Sus scrofa: one gene and its partner. The protein of the gene in region 2 interacts with the protein of the main gene of each other region in a pairwise test. Links are inferred from orthologs where the notes say so. Each region holds a gene or a part of one and is shown on either strand. Other genes may lie near its edges.

Region 1 (7,660 bases), on a different chromosome or scaffold from region 2:
AGGAGTTGGGCAGCAGGGGCCCCACGCTGGGCAGGGAGGGGGACGGGGGATCACAGCCAATGGGCTGGCCTCCCACTGCCCCATGAAAGGGCCATTCAGTTCAGGCCGTTCCTTTGGCAACAGGGAGACTCTTGCAGCCATGTGAGCGCCCGTCCTGTCCCTGTCTTGCGCAGCAAGGCTAGATTCAGGGCCCTGGCCCGCCCTCCCACCCAAGGTGCATTCTGCAGGCTCCCAGGACAGCCCGTGCCAGGTAATGCCAGGGGCACCAACCCACCTATCTGCTCACCTGAGAGGTGCTAGCCCTGAACTTAAGAGTAAAACTGGGGGCTGGGGGAGGGGATGGGCCTGCCCCAGACCTCAGTCCCAATAGGGAGCCTCTCCCCAGAGAGGGGATCTATAAGCCAGCTGCCTGCACTTAGAGGCAGCTTCCAGGGGGCTGTTAGTGATGGCTGCTGCGCCAGTGGGAGGTCTGTCACCAGCCTGCCAGATTGAAAAGAACAGGAGAGTGGGATTTAAGAGCTCTCCTGGGATTCTTGGGGGCTGGAAGGTGGGATTTCCCCTCCAGCCCCCAACCCTTCCCAGGGCTGCTCGTGGGCCATCCCAGGGTCGTCCCTGTCTGCCGTACCTTGTTTGGACCTGGCACTTTGGCATCTGCTGGAGAGGTCGCAAGCTTGGGGCACAGCCTGCTGAATACCAATTCCCTGGGAACCTGAGTGTGGGGGAGGGGAAAGGCCCATGGCGGGGCGGGGGTTGTGTCTGATTGGCTGCCGGGTGTCCCAGAGCCCAGCTCCTGAGGCCTGGAGTCTCTTTGACTTTGAATTATTGATGGAGCTCTCTCCAACGTGAAATAGAGCAGGACTGGTCCCCCCACCGCCGCCCCCCGGCCCTACCCCCACCCCCACCTCTTTCTGTCTCTCCCCCTGGCCTCCCTCAGCCTTCATTCTCTTCCTTCCCTGGACCCCAGAAAGCTAAGCAGATAGGAGGGAAGCTTGTGGTTTCCCCCTAACCCTGCATGAGGTCCTCTTCCAGTTATTTTTTTCCTACATAGAGGTGAAAGTTGTGCTGGAGGTAGGAGCACAGTGGGCGAGGGAGTGTCCAGTGAAGGGTAGGGGGTCCCCTGGCCAGGTGGGGAAAAAGTGGTTGGTAACTACAGGTCAGACCTCTCTGATGCCGAAAACGGCTGGAGGGCTTCGGCAGGGCCTGGAAGTTCTGTTGTGGGGCCTAGATGGAAGGTGCCACCTGCCGCTCTGCCACCCCTGCACCTCTCCCACGCCTTATATGGACTGAGTTTCTAGAGTTCTCTGCTCAGCCCTCTGCATGTGGGGCTTGGCACCAGCTCCTCTCTGCCCGCATGGGCTGGGCTGCCAGCCTGGGGCAAGCTGTGGGCTGCCCACTGCCCGCTTATCCGCTCATCCCGCTGGGAGCTGCAGGGAGAAGCCTGGCGCCCAGGGCTGCGGTCAGAGGCCGGCCAGGCCAGGAGACAGCCAGCCCTGACGTTATTATAGGCCTACAAACGGAGGAGCCGGGCCGCCTGGCAGGGGCTGGGGGAGGAGATAATAACCACTGTCCTTGTTGAGGGCTTTCGTGTGTTATTATCTCATTTATTCCTCGCGACAACCCTGTGAGGTAGGAATCTAATGATGATTATTACACAGATGAGGAAGCTGGGGCTCAGAGAGGGTCAATGACTAGTGCAAAACCACCCAGCTAGTCAGCGCAGGGCACAGCCCTTACACACACGACTCTGAGGGTCCTGCACCCCCACCACCCCAGGAGCCCCCAAGAGCCACTGCTGACCCTCAAGGAAAGGAGCCAATCCCACTTGCTCCTCCCTTTAAAGTACCTTGCCCTCCAGCTCCATTGTAGATGAAGCCTGCAGGTTTAGGGTGATGGAGGGACTCTGGGGGTCCCCACATGAGCCTAAATGTGATGGGGGTGTGAACTGAGGTAAAGTCGGAAGAGCACTGGGCTGGAAATCTGAGAGACATGGACGCCAATCCCGGCTCTGCTAGTGAGTGACCCTGGGCAAGTCAGCAGCCCTTCTCCCAATTGTACGACAGAGGACTTAAGATGGACCACCCTGTAGGGCCCTCCAAACTCCTCGATTCAGAGATTCTGTGTTCCTTTAGCAGGCCCACCCCACTGCAAGGACTGCGGATGGGGCCCCGGATTGCTGCCTGCAGTGCAGGATTTTAGCCTCTAGGGGGCCCCTTTTGCACAAGTCATTATCACCATGGTGGTGCTGGTAGGGGAATGGGAATCCCTGTGAGGCCACAGGCCCTAACTCCACTGAGAACCAAAGGTTTGGACCAGTGAAGAGGGTGGACTCCACGACATGAGGATCCCCCACGGCAGCAGGTGACCGTGACCAGGGAAGAATGAGGTCAGGCACACTCTCTGTCACTCGCCGCCACCTCTCCACAGCCCCCTCTCTTCCTTTCTTCATCAGGGATCTTCCTTTCCTCATCAGGGATCTGGCCAAATGATCCTCGGGTCATGCCAGCTCAGACAGCGTAGGATTCCCAGGACTCACTCATGCCACCGGTCAGAAAGAAGGGGAGCAGTCTTAACTCTTGGAGTGTCCAGCGTTTTCAATCCAGGGCATGAGGGCGGTGGCAACCCCCCACCTCAGGAGTATCTGCAGAAGCAGAGGAGAGGAAGCAGATGGGATCTGGGTTGGAATAGCACTTGCTGCTTGAGGGGCTGCTGAGGTAGGGCAGTCCCTGCCCTCACACTGAGTGTACTCAGAGTGGGCAGGACATGCTGAGACTGATTGCCCCCCTGTGGTTTATAAAAGCCAACTCAGGGGAAAATGAATCTGACTAGTATCCATGAGAATACAGGTTCGATCCCTGGCCTCGCTCAGTGGGTCAAGGATCCAGCATTGCTGACAGCTGTGGTGTAGGTCACAGATGTGGCTCAGATCTCGCATCACTGTGGCTGTGGCATAGGCCGGCAGCTGCGGCCCTGCTTTCACCTCTAGCCTGGGAATTGCCATGTGCTGCGAGTGCAGCCCTTAAAAAAACAAACACAAAAAGCCAGTTTACCCCGTGTGCTCTCTCTAAGGTGTGAATGCATGGGTGCATGGAGACCTGCGTGCCTGCATGTGCGCTCACATGCAGAGGTGTGTCTCAGTGGTGGGCAGCAGACTGTGTGGTTCCTGGTCGAGATCTTCGGTCTGGCCAACTGGGGATGGAAAGCAGGTGCGGTGGGATATGACCCCCCCGCAGGACCCTCTGACAACTACTTTCCTTGTCTTTCAGCCCATGAGGCTCCCAGTCCCCAGTGAGTGCCGCCCTGAAGGATGTCCCAGCTCTCCTCCACCTTGAAGCGCTACACAGAATCAGCCCGCTACACAGATGCCCCTTACGCCAAATCAGGCTATGGCACCTACACTCCCTCTTCCTACGGGGCCAACCTGGCCGCCTCCTTCCTGGAGAAGGAGAAGCTCGGTTTCAAGCCGGGCCCCTCAACCAGCTTCCTCACCCGTCCCCGTACCTACGGCCCCCCATCCATCCTGGACTATGACCGAGGCCGCCCCTTGCTGAGACCCGACATCATCGGAGGTGGTAAGCGGGCGGAGAGCCAGACTCGGGGCACTGAGCGGCCTTCAGGGAGTGGACTCAGCGGGGGCAGTGGATTCCCTTACGGAGTGACCACCAGCTCCCTCAGCTACCTGCCCGTGAATGCCCGCGACCAGGGGGTAACCCTGACCCAGAAGAAGTCGAATAGTCAATCGGACCTGGCCCGGGATTTCTCCAGCCTCCGGACCTCAGATAGCTACCGGCTAGACCCGGGGAACTTGGGCCGCAGCCCCATGCTGGCCCGCACGCGCAAGGAGCTGTGCGCCCTGCAGGGGCTCTACCAGGCAGCCAGCCGCTCTGAGTACCTGGCCGACTACCTGGAGAACTATGGTCGCAAGGGCAGCACGCCTCAGGTGCCCACCCAGGCCCCTCTCTCACGAGTCCCTGAAGTCCTCAGCCCCACCTACCGACCCAGTGGCCGTTACACTCCGTGGGAAAAGAGCAAGGGCCAGACCCCTGTATCCAGCCGCTCCAGCTCCCCCGGGCGAGACACCATGGTGAGTTTGCCCCCTGGGGACCTGGTGATGGACTGGGGAAGGCAGCCACTGATGTACAAGAGCCAGGCTGAGGCAAGGACTCCCAACTTGACTGATGATCAAAGGCAGAGGTTTTCTTCTCGGACCTCACAGGGGCTGCTCTTGCAGCCCAAGTGGGGACGAGCCAGGGAAGCCACCTCAGCACGTCTGGTGCCCTCGGGGCTCAGGACCTTCCTTGCTTAAGGGCCTTCCTGTTCTCCCTAGGAAACCTACTTCACCACCTGTGCCCTTGATGGTGGCCCAGCAGTGCTCTTGGAAATACTCAGCTACCCCCACATATACTGCGATTCTTGTCTTCTACTTTCCCACCCAACATGCCCAGGTTCCCTGCAGGCCCTGCCCTGTCCTGAACTGAATGCTGAGACCCCCAGACCACCACTGGGCCCTGTGGTAAGAGGGGCTTCCTTGACTGCCTGCGTCTCTCCTCCTGCTCAGACTATTACCTTCTAGCCCAGAGATGGGCTTAACCCTGGGACATAAGACATCAGGGCCGGGGAGGGGAGAGAGTTCCCATTGTGGCACAGCAGAAACGAATCTGAGTAGTATCCATGCAGATGTGGGTTCAATCTTTGGCCTCGCTCAGTGGGTTAAGGATTTGGCATTGGCCATGGGCCATGGTGTAGGTCGCAGGTGCCGCCCGGATCCCACATGGCTGTGGCTGTGGTGTAGGCCAACAGCTGTAGCTCCGATTAGACTCCTAGCCTGGGAACCTCCCTATGCCAAGGGTGCGGCCCTAAAAAAGAAAAAAGGAAAGGAAAAGACATCAAGGAAGAGGGGCTGTCCTCAGATGGACCCTGCCTGGCTCAGGGAGTGAAGACAGGAGTGGTTCTCATGTATCTTTGGAGAAAAGTGGTAGAGAAGTTTTGTCGAGGACTTTAGACAATCCAGTCCCTTTCTACTCCGATCCTGGCTGAGCTCAAATAAGGGAGGAGGCTCAGCCAGAGACCAAGTAAGGGCAGGCATGGCCCTGCTCCCATCTAACCCTTGAACACCTCTCTACATTCTGCCTTTGCTGTAGTAACTAGTTTACCTATTAGGTGGTGAGCTGTCAGAGGATGAGAGAGAAGTCAGCTCTCTAGGCCTCTCCCCATGTGCCTCGCTCAGTGCAGACCTCAGCTGACTGCTGATCCCATGGATGAGTGGGTAGCTGGGAGGGCGGGGGAGGGTGAGTGGATGGGTGGGGGGATGAGTGGGTGCATAGAGGGACAGGACCCACAGGCATGTGGATGTTGATTGTGTCTCCTTCATTACTTTACGGACCCTTCCCCTACTTTTAGGACATGTGTCTTTGGGGACCAGTTTCTGTGCCATAGCAAGAAATGCTGCCTAGGGGCCCTGTCCAGAATAATGGAGCAAGGGTGCAGGATGGAGGCGGGGCTTTGAGTCATTGACCTTGAAGCTTGTCATAACTAAATGTCTTGAGAGGGAGCTCCCACTGTGGCACAGTGGATTAAGAACCCGACTAGGATCCATGAGGATGTGGGTTCAATCCCTGGCCTTGCTCAGTGGGTTAGGGATCTGGCATTGGCCCTGAGCTGTGGTGTAGGTCACAGATGTGGCTCAGATCCCCCATTGCTGTGGCTGTGGTGTAGGCCGGCAGCTGCAGCTCCGATTCGATTCCTAGCCTGGGAACTTCCATATGCCACGAGTGTGGCCCTAAAAAAAAAAAGAAAAAAGGTCCTAGAGAGGACAATTTTGATACCATTACTTAGAAAGTCTTGGCCTTGCTGGGCCATCTCTGAAGTGTCACAGGAGATGCCGGAGCTGGTGCCTCCCGGAACATTCAGACCCTGTGAGGGCAAGGCTGGCTACACTGGAGGGCTGGTGTAAACAAGGCGTGCTAGATGATGGAGCCGGCCCGGGAGAGAGGGGCTGTGCTCTCAAGGACAGATGTGGGTTAGAGCCTGACACCCATTCCAAAGCAGACACCCCCGGCCCCACCTCCACCCCCAGGGCCAGGGTGAGGGGAGTTTTAAGAGAGGACCTCAGAGGGGTGGCAAATTGACCCAAGCAAACTCAGCCACCCTCACATCCCTCCTTCCCGCCCAGAAACAGCTCACAACACACTTAAGTAGCAGCAGCCCTACAATCAAGCTAGCGTTTCACTCTGAGCTCACGCTCAGGAAGATACCATCCACTGGGAAAGGCCCCTCTTGATTTAACCTCAGACCTTGATTTAACCTCACCTTCTCTCTCCTCACCACCCTTACCCTTGCTTTTGGAGCTGACATCTTGCTGTGGTTAGAACAACCCTGTTCATGGGGCCTGGACCACTTTTTTCTAGAACCAGGTCCAGTTTCAGAGTTCCTGTCATGGCTCAGTAGTTAACGAATCTGACTAGGAACCATGAGGTGGTGGGTTCCATCCCTGGCCTCGCTCAATGGGTTAAGGATCCAGCGTTGCCGTGAGCTGTGGTGTGGATCACAGACGAGGCTCGGATCTGGTGTGGCTGTGGCTGTGGCATAGGCTGGCAGCTGTAGCTCCAGTTGGACCCCTAGCCTGGGAACTTCCATATGCCATGGGTGCAGCTCTAGAAAAGACAAAAAAAAAAAAAATAGAACCAGGTCCAGTTTCTTTTTCGATCTCCATGTGGGGATTTTCTGTCTCATTCATTCCTTCACGGTGCTCAGCTTACTAGCAGCGTGACCTCAGGGAAGTTCCTGACCGTCTAAACCTGTAAAGTGAGATCCGCATTGTTCCCACTTCATGGATTATTTTGAGGCGTCAAAGGCTGCAGGCGAATGGGCCTGACACACAGTAAGTGTTCAAAAAATATCAGTCTTCTCAGTCCTGCCACCTCCCAGGAGCTTCGGGAGGTAGGAGAGGCGCGAGCCACATTCCCCGCCCTCGGTGCATTTGCAACGAACTTGGGGAAATAAGCTCTAAAAATAATTGCAATAGAAGGCAGTCCTAGGTGTTTTTCAAGGTCAGAGGTGGTGGGAAAGGGAGAGGTCACAGAGGCTGGGTTGGGCTGCTGTGACCGCTGGAGGAACAGTTTGCCTCTTTAACCTTGGACACCTCTCATCTGAGCTGTTTCCTCAGCCATAAACGGGAATGGTCACACCTGCCCTGCCCTGCCCAGCTCACCGGGATGTCATGAGGCTCGAAGCAAATAATGGATGTGGAGGAATCTGAAACCAGTAAAGCGCGATGGTAGCATTGGTTTAAACTTCAGCAGGGAAAGGAGAGGATGGAAAAGGGGAATCTGGCAGCTGACTAGAGTCGGGAGCAGATCACCGCCGGGAGGAAGAAAGGTGGGGGAAAGCACATCCTGTGGCAGAGTCCAGTGAGCTGACTCCTCTGGGGCCCCCTGGGGCAGCCCTGGCCCCCGGGGTCTCAGGGTAGCTAACTTGAACTACAACTGGCCTTCATAAAGGGAGGTCAAAAGTAGGCCCAGGAGCTCCCATAGCGGCTCAGTGGGTTAAAAACCTGCCAGAGTGTCTGTGAGGATGTGGGTTCCATCCCTGGCATTGCCACGAGCGGTGGTGTAGGTCAAAGATGCAGTTTGTGTCTGGAGTTGCTGTGGCTGTGGCATAGGCT
Region 2 (6,883 bases):
GGAACCAGTATTTGTATGTGTGTGTGTCTGATTTTTAGGGCTGCATCTACTGAATATGAGGTTCCCAGGCTAGGGGTTGAATCAGAGCTACAGCTGCCAGCCTATAGAACTAGTATCTTTTTTTTTTTTTTTTTTTTTTTTTTTTGTCTTTTGTCTTTTTAGGGCCGCACCCAGGCATATGGAGGTTCCCAGGCTAGGGGTCGAATCAGAGCTACAGCTGCTGGCCTACACCACAGCCACAGCAACATGTGATCCGAGCCGAGTCTGCAGCCTACACCACAGCTCATGGCAATGCTGGATCCTTAACCCACTGAGCAAGGCCAGGGATCGAACCCGCATCCTCATGGTTACCAGTCGGATTCGTTAACCACTGAGCCACGACGGGAACTCCGAACCAGTATCTTTTTTAACCTTACATTCCTCCAGTCTTTTTTCTGTCCAGGGATCTGGTTAGTTGTAGGTTAAACATTCCCATTCCATTCTCTGTTTAGTAACATAAACATGTATCATGGCTGAGAAAGGAAGCTGTTGTCCTTACCTGCACAGTTAGGGGACAGAGGGAATATCAGTTCTTCCTCAGAAGTGCAGTTCCCTTGCCCTCTGACCCCACAACCAGTGGACCCTGCTGGGAGCAGCTGAGGCACTGAGGCATTTGCTATGGTGGGGAGCCAGCTGTCACCAGCGCTCCCTGGCCTTTTTGGGGGCTGCTGCTCGGTGTCATGGGACAGATTGCTAGCCAAAGCCCAGGGCACCCCTTCCTTCTTTCCATTCCTCTGCTGCCAGAACTTCTCTTTTGCTGGATTGAGAGCTTAAAGTTCATCCAAGTCTAGACTGGTGCTGTCCAATTGAAATATGATGCAGAGTTCCCTGGTGGCACACTGGGTTAAGGACCTGGCATTGTCGTGCTGCAGCTCAGGTTGCTGCTATGGCCCAGGTTCCATTCCTGGCCTGAGAACTTCTACATGCTGCTGGTGTGACCAAAGAAAGTGTTACCTTTTTTTTTTTTTTTTTTTTTGGTCTTTTGCCCTTTCTAGGGCCGCTTCCCAAGGCATATGGAGGTTCCCAGGCTAGGGGTCTAATCGGAGCTATAGCCGCCAGCCTACACCAGAGCCACAGCAATGCAGGATCCAAGCCGCGTCTGCAACCTACACCACAGCTCATGGCAATGCTGGATCCTTAACCCAATGAGCAAGGCCAGGGGTCGAACCTGCAACCTCATGGTTCCTAGCTGGGTTTGTTAACCACTGCGCCATGACAGGGACTCCCAGAAAAAGTGTTACTTTTAAATCATTTCTTTAAAATTCCATTGTTTCAAAGCTGTCCATTCCTAATCTTGTGAATTGATCATGTGTGTGTCTGTATCTTTAATTTCTTTGAACATTTCATACAGAAGGCCCAGCTGCTGTGTATGTGGCAGTGTAACGTTGGCTGTCTTGGGCGCTCTTGGGTGTACTGTCTGTGCTAATTTTCCTGGTAGTCTCTTTCTTACGACTGCTGGTCTTTGACTCCTCTCCTTGACCTTAATCGGGGGAGTCCCAGGGCCCTGCGCTGGGACTGAGGGTTTTTCAGAGAAGGTTGGCATCTCCTTTTACAGTCACTGAAAAATGCCCTCCCCCTGGGTCTACACTGCCACCTGTTAGAGGCTCTCGTGAGAGAGGCAGCTCAGCTTCCCACTCAAGGCTGGCATCCCGCTCAGCTTCTGGGTAGCAGGTGGCCATGGCCACTTACCTCTGGCAGCCCTGCCTCTCCCAGTTGCCCACTTCCCTGGTTCCAGCCCTCTGCTCCCAGCTCCATTTTGTAAACCATTTAATGAATTAATTATTTTGAGGAGGGTAGTCCTTGGAGATTTCCCTTAGCTCTGGGAGACCTTTCTAGAGATGAGCTGTGCTGTTACAGGAGTGTTCTAAGGACCCAGGTGGTCATGACGCCAGACCTGGGAGGACCTGCAGACATCAGGAAACTCGACTGTGTGTGTGTGTGTCTCTACAGGAATTCATCGAAGAGCTGCTATCTCCCCCTTTTGGGGGTCTGGTGGCATTTGTGAAGGAAGCTGAGGCCCTGATTGAGCGTGGGCAAGCCGAACGACTCCGAGGGGAAGAAGGTAAGAAGGGTGGGTGGGGTCAGTGAGAGGTGAACGGGAAAGAAGAAATTTAAATTTTTTTGAATTATTTTATTTGCTTTTTAGGGCCGAACTCTCAGCATATGGAGGTTCCCAGGCTAGGGGTCTAATTGGAGCTACAGCTGCCAACCTACACCACGGCCACAGCAACACCAGATCCGAGCCCCGTCTGTGACCTACACCACAGCTCACGGCAACACCGGATCCTTAACCCACTGAGCGAGGCCAGGGATCAAACCCACAAGCTCATGGTTCCTAGTTGGATTTGTTTCCCCTGTGCCACAAAGGGAACTCCCAGGAAAGAAGAAATTTGAGGATGCAGATCACATTGCGGGGGGTGGGGGGGCAGTGGTAGAGCAGGGAAGGGTGGGTTGGTGAAAAGGGGTTGCATGGTGAGGATGGCGGTGCCTGGTGGAGAGCCTAGAGGGATCAAACATCACATGGCTATTACCTCTCCCCCCACGACCAGCCCGCGTTACTCAGCTGATCCGGGGCTTTGGCAGTTCCTGGAAGTCGTCTGTGGAGTCCCTGAGCCAGGATGTCATGCGGAGCTTCACCAACTTCAGGAATGGAACCAGCATCATCCAGGTGACCTGCAGTCCCCAGTCCCACCCACCCACCACTGATTTCCCCCCGCTTTTCTTTTTTGGCTGCGCCCGTGGCGTGCCAAAGTTCCCAGGCCAGGGATGGAACCTGAGCCATAGCAGTGACAATGCTGGCTCCTTAACCCACTGAGCCACCATGGAACTCCCCCACCCCTTTCTCTGGGCTCAGAATCATACAAGTGACCCTTGATTTTCATTCCATCTGGACCCCAAGTCCTGTGCCCTGACATGATCCTAATCGTCACCCTGGTACCACCCCATACCTCATCCCTTGGTGGTTTTCTCCAAGCAGGGAGCACTAACCCAGCTGATCCAGCTCTACCACCGCTTCCACCGTGTGCTGTCCCAGCCCCAGCTCCGAGCCCTCCCAGCCCGTGCTGAGCTTATCAACATCCACCACCTCATGGTGGAGCTCAAGAAGCACAAGCCCAACTTCTGACACACCAGATGCTGGAGCCACCGGCCCTCCCCATGAACTTCTTCCCTCGGGGTCCCCCTTCCGGTTTGCCCCTGGCCAGAAGAAATTTGAGGATGCAGGCTCTTGACATGCCGCACCCGCCTTCACCCCAGGCACCTGCCTCCTCAGGATAAGCTGGGTCACCGTGGCTTTCTGAACCTCCTGTCCTCAGGTTTCCAGGACCACTCCCCCCTGGGCTTCCAAAATAACCTTGGTTATTTTTCCAATTTTCTCATTCCTCTTCCCCCTACACCGCCCTGCCCTTTTCTTCTGCTGGTGAAACCCTCGCTGCCACATCTTTGGTTCACTCAGCTCTTACCCCCTGGTGTCAGGTGTGAAGCCTCAGCTCTTGGAGTTGGTGTAGCAGGGGAGACTGCCTCATAACAGTTGATTTTTTTTTTCCTACTCAAAGTGATCCTTTTCTGTAGCTTTTTGACCTAAGATCTCAGCAACTTGAACACTAACCAGTCCCCTCCTGGCTTGAGAGTTACTCCATCCAAGGTCAGTCTGCAGAAAACAATAAATGTTTAATATGACATAAAACCCTTCGCCTGTTTCCTTTCTCCTTCCTCCTGGGACTTTCACTTAGCCCCATCTCTGCTCCAGGGTCCCTTTGCTCTCTGACTACCTCCTGGGCCTACATCCCTTCTGGTGGGTGTCTAGAAAGTAGGGGCATAGTAACCTCTGACCTCTAGCTACTGGTTTTAGGGGAGTGGAGGAAGGTGGCCCCTGGTCATAATGGCAGATGCATCAAGGGTTGTGGGCCTCAGGCATTGCATCCAAGGGCTACCTGGCCTCCTGCCTCCTCCAGCTGACCCCTAGGGTTGCCTCCTCTCCTTCACTGTCTGCTTCCTAGCTCTTTGCCGGAGGCTGCAGCACGCAGACTACTGGGGCGGGGCTGGGCCAGGCTTGCACTGTGACAGTCTATCCATTTCTGGGTTGACCTGCGCCTTCTCTAGAGGGAGAGACTTGGAGACTCCTGTGGATCCCCAGGGGGAAGGCCTGGACAGTCAGGAGAAAATGGTAATTTGGGGCCTACTCATTCCCCCCAGCGGGTGGTGAAAGAAAAGTGGCTTCTCGCAGTCTGGGTGCGGTACCAGCCAGCTGCGAAGGCAGCGACTACGCAGCTCCTACACACGCAGGAAAGGGCGCTGCTTGGGGCCCGAACGCCGGGAGGCGGAGCTGGGGTAGTGGCGGGCTCTGTCGATGGGCTCCCGTGCAGAGGGGGTGTGGCGAGGCCGCCTTGTCTCCAAAAACAGCGCGCTGATTGGCTTTGGGAGCCCTATTTCTAAGCTTCAGCTCCGCCTCCCGAGTCAGTAGGGAGGCTGGAGACTCAGAGCGGCTCCTGATTGGCTCAGACACCACAGGGATGGAATCAGGATAGCGCCCTTCCCTGACTTCACCACTTCGCCGCCACTTCCTCTCCTCCCCGCGGGCCTCCTGGCTCACCCGGCATGCCAGAACACCTGACATCCCCAGAGGCCTGCCTGCCCCAGGAGTCTGCTGTCCCATCACCTCTCTTTCCTGTCCCTCGCCCCCACCAGGGGTGCCTCACGTTCTCACATTTGACCTGATCCCTGCGCAGTTCGAGGAGAGCAGGAGGGTTCACGGCTGGGACCTGGGAGACAGAGCGGTTTCCCAGAGAGGGAATCTCTGCGTCTCTGCATATCCCACAAAGGAGATTGCCGAGACAGGCGATTTCATCGAAGTCGACCTCGGTTGGGAGAAGGAATGTGCGTGTAGGCACCTTGGTTTTCCAACTTCTGACCTTCTCTGCCCCTAGCTATCCCCAGCCCCAGTGTTCATGCTCCGACAAGCACAGTCTTTTGCAGGCCTCACTGAGGGTCACTGCTGCAGAGTGAGGAGGCTCCCGTTTTGGAGCCAGGGGGTACTGAGGTCGAACTGCCCGAGAGCGCGCAGGAGCCCTCTGACCAACAGTCTCAGGATGGCACAAAAGGAGACAGGGCAGCGTGAGATACCTCTGCTGGCCTCCAGGGGGCAGCATCTACCAGGGGAAGGGTCTCCATGGCCCAAGCCACTAGCATTTCTGCTGCCTGGTTGGCCCAAGGCAGCGAGACTCCTCCCGCGCCCCCTTCAGGCTAAAGCAACCCGAGAGACTTTCCCTTCAGCCTAGAAACATCCTGTCCCGGGGCTTACATGGGTCCTTGAGACACTGGGCTGAAACTCCCAACTTCTGGCTGATACCACTGCCCTCCAACTTCTCCCTCATTTCTTCCCTTTGCTGATGACACGCTCTGGCCTCACAGAGCAGACGCATCAGGGGGTCACTCCTTGCGGGGGGGTGGTAGGGTGGGGGGAGCTGTCAGTGTCCTCATTTCAGGCTCACATCTGTGCCTGGTACCTGGGTCCCTGTCCTTCCTAGTGTCATACAGGAAGGACTTGGAGGCATCCTTATGGGTAGTGACAGTGCCCGAGGATGCTAAGGGACCTCCGTCCTTGAAGGACACATCACTCCATTTCTACACCTCTGTGCCCTCAACTTGTCCCGAAGTTATTTCTTTTCCTTTTTTTTTTTTTTTGGCCGCCCTATGGCATATGGAATTTCCAGGCTAGGAATCAGATCTGAGCTGCACTTGCAACCTACACTGCAGCTGCAGTACCAGATCCTTTAACCCACTGTGCCTAGCCGGGTATGGAACCTGCATCCTGGTGCTGCAAAGACACAGCCCATCTCTCTCTCTCTCTTTTTTTTTTTTTTTTTTTTTTTGCTTTTTTTTTTCCTTTTTAGGGCTGCACCCAGGGAATATGGATGTTCCCAGGCTAGGGGTGGAATTGGAACTACAGCTGCTGGCCTACACCACAGCCACAGCAACTTGGGATCCTTAACCCACTGATCAAGGCCAGAGATCAAACCTGCATCCTCATGAATACCATTCCAGTTCGTTTCCACTGTGCCATAAGGGGAACTCGAACATTCTATTTGCAGTAACCTCAGACTGAAGTTCAGTATTTTTCCAAGGCAGTTAGAGGGTGCGTTGTCTGTAGAGAATTTTAAAATGATACTAAGGCGTTCCTGTTGTGCTTCAGTGGATTATGGACCTGACTAGTCCATAGTCCATAATGAGGATGTGGGTGTGATCCCTGGTTTCACTCAGTGGGTTAAGGATCTGAGGTGTTGCTGTGGCTGTGGTGTAGGCTGGCAGCTGCAGCTCAGATTTGACCCCTAGGCCTGGGAACCTCCATATGCCAAGGGTTCGGCCCTAAAAAGCAATTAACAAACTAACAGTATCATGTAATACCAGTCCATACTCAAATTTCCCCGTTGTCTCAAAGGTATTTTGTGCCAGTTTTGTTTGAAAAAAGGTCTAAACAAGGTTTGAAAAAAAGTAGTTACTACCTTTTTACCCTCTATTCTAGCTTTCAAGCTTTAGTAATAATATCTTTTAATTTTGCTTCAAAAACCTGAGTGATTACACGCATTTCAGAGGAATTTTGAGTACATGTTCTGTAAAAGCCGAAGCCAAAGTAAAAATTAGTTCCAAATATGACCTTCCCTCAATATTATGATTATCCAGACTATTTACTGGAGTGCAGAACTCAGATGACGGGCCAAGAATCTCAATTCTTGAAAATCCAAGGAAAAGAAATACTTGTAATCCCCAGAGTAGATTGCTTCAGAGTTCATAAAAATGTGCTACATTGTCAAAAATATGTTAATAAAAAGGAATAATCAAATATGCT

What was found.
Region 1: the proteins of VPS52 (region 2) and USP2 interact in binary tests that used the Homo sapiens proteins (3 or more experiments, as listed by UniProt). The two-hybrid records come from large-scale screens. The link is inferred for Sus scrofa from reciprocal best matches to the Homo sapiens genes VPS52 and USP2.

The regions. Positions count from the first base shown.
Region 1 is NC_010451.4:46,577,701-46,585,360, reverse strand, and holds part of USP2 (ubiquitin carboxyl-terminal hydrolase 2), read left to right. Parts: intron 1-121; exon of another isoform or gene 122-250; intron 251-3,258; exon of another isoform or gene 3,259-3,263; 5' UTR 3,264-3,304; coding exon 3,305-4,081; intron 4,082-7,660. UniProt on the Homo sapiens protein: Hydrolase that deubiquitinates polyubiquitinated target proteins such as MDM2, MDM4 and CCND1. Isoform 1 and isoform 4 possess both ubiquitin-specific peptidase and isopeptidase activities.
Region 2 is NC_010449.5:29,621,065-29,627,947, reverse strand, and holds the end of VPS52 (vacuolar protein sorting-associated protein 52 homolog), read left to right. Parts: intron 1-1,989; coding exon 1,990-2,101; intron 2,102-2,588; coding exon 2,589-2,707; intron 2,708-3,016; coding exon 3,017-3,163; 3' UTR 3,164-3,724; downstream 3,725-6,883. UniProt on the Homo sapiens protein: Acts as a component of the GARP complex that is involved in retrograde transport from early and late endosomes to the trans-Golgi network (TGN).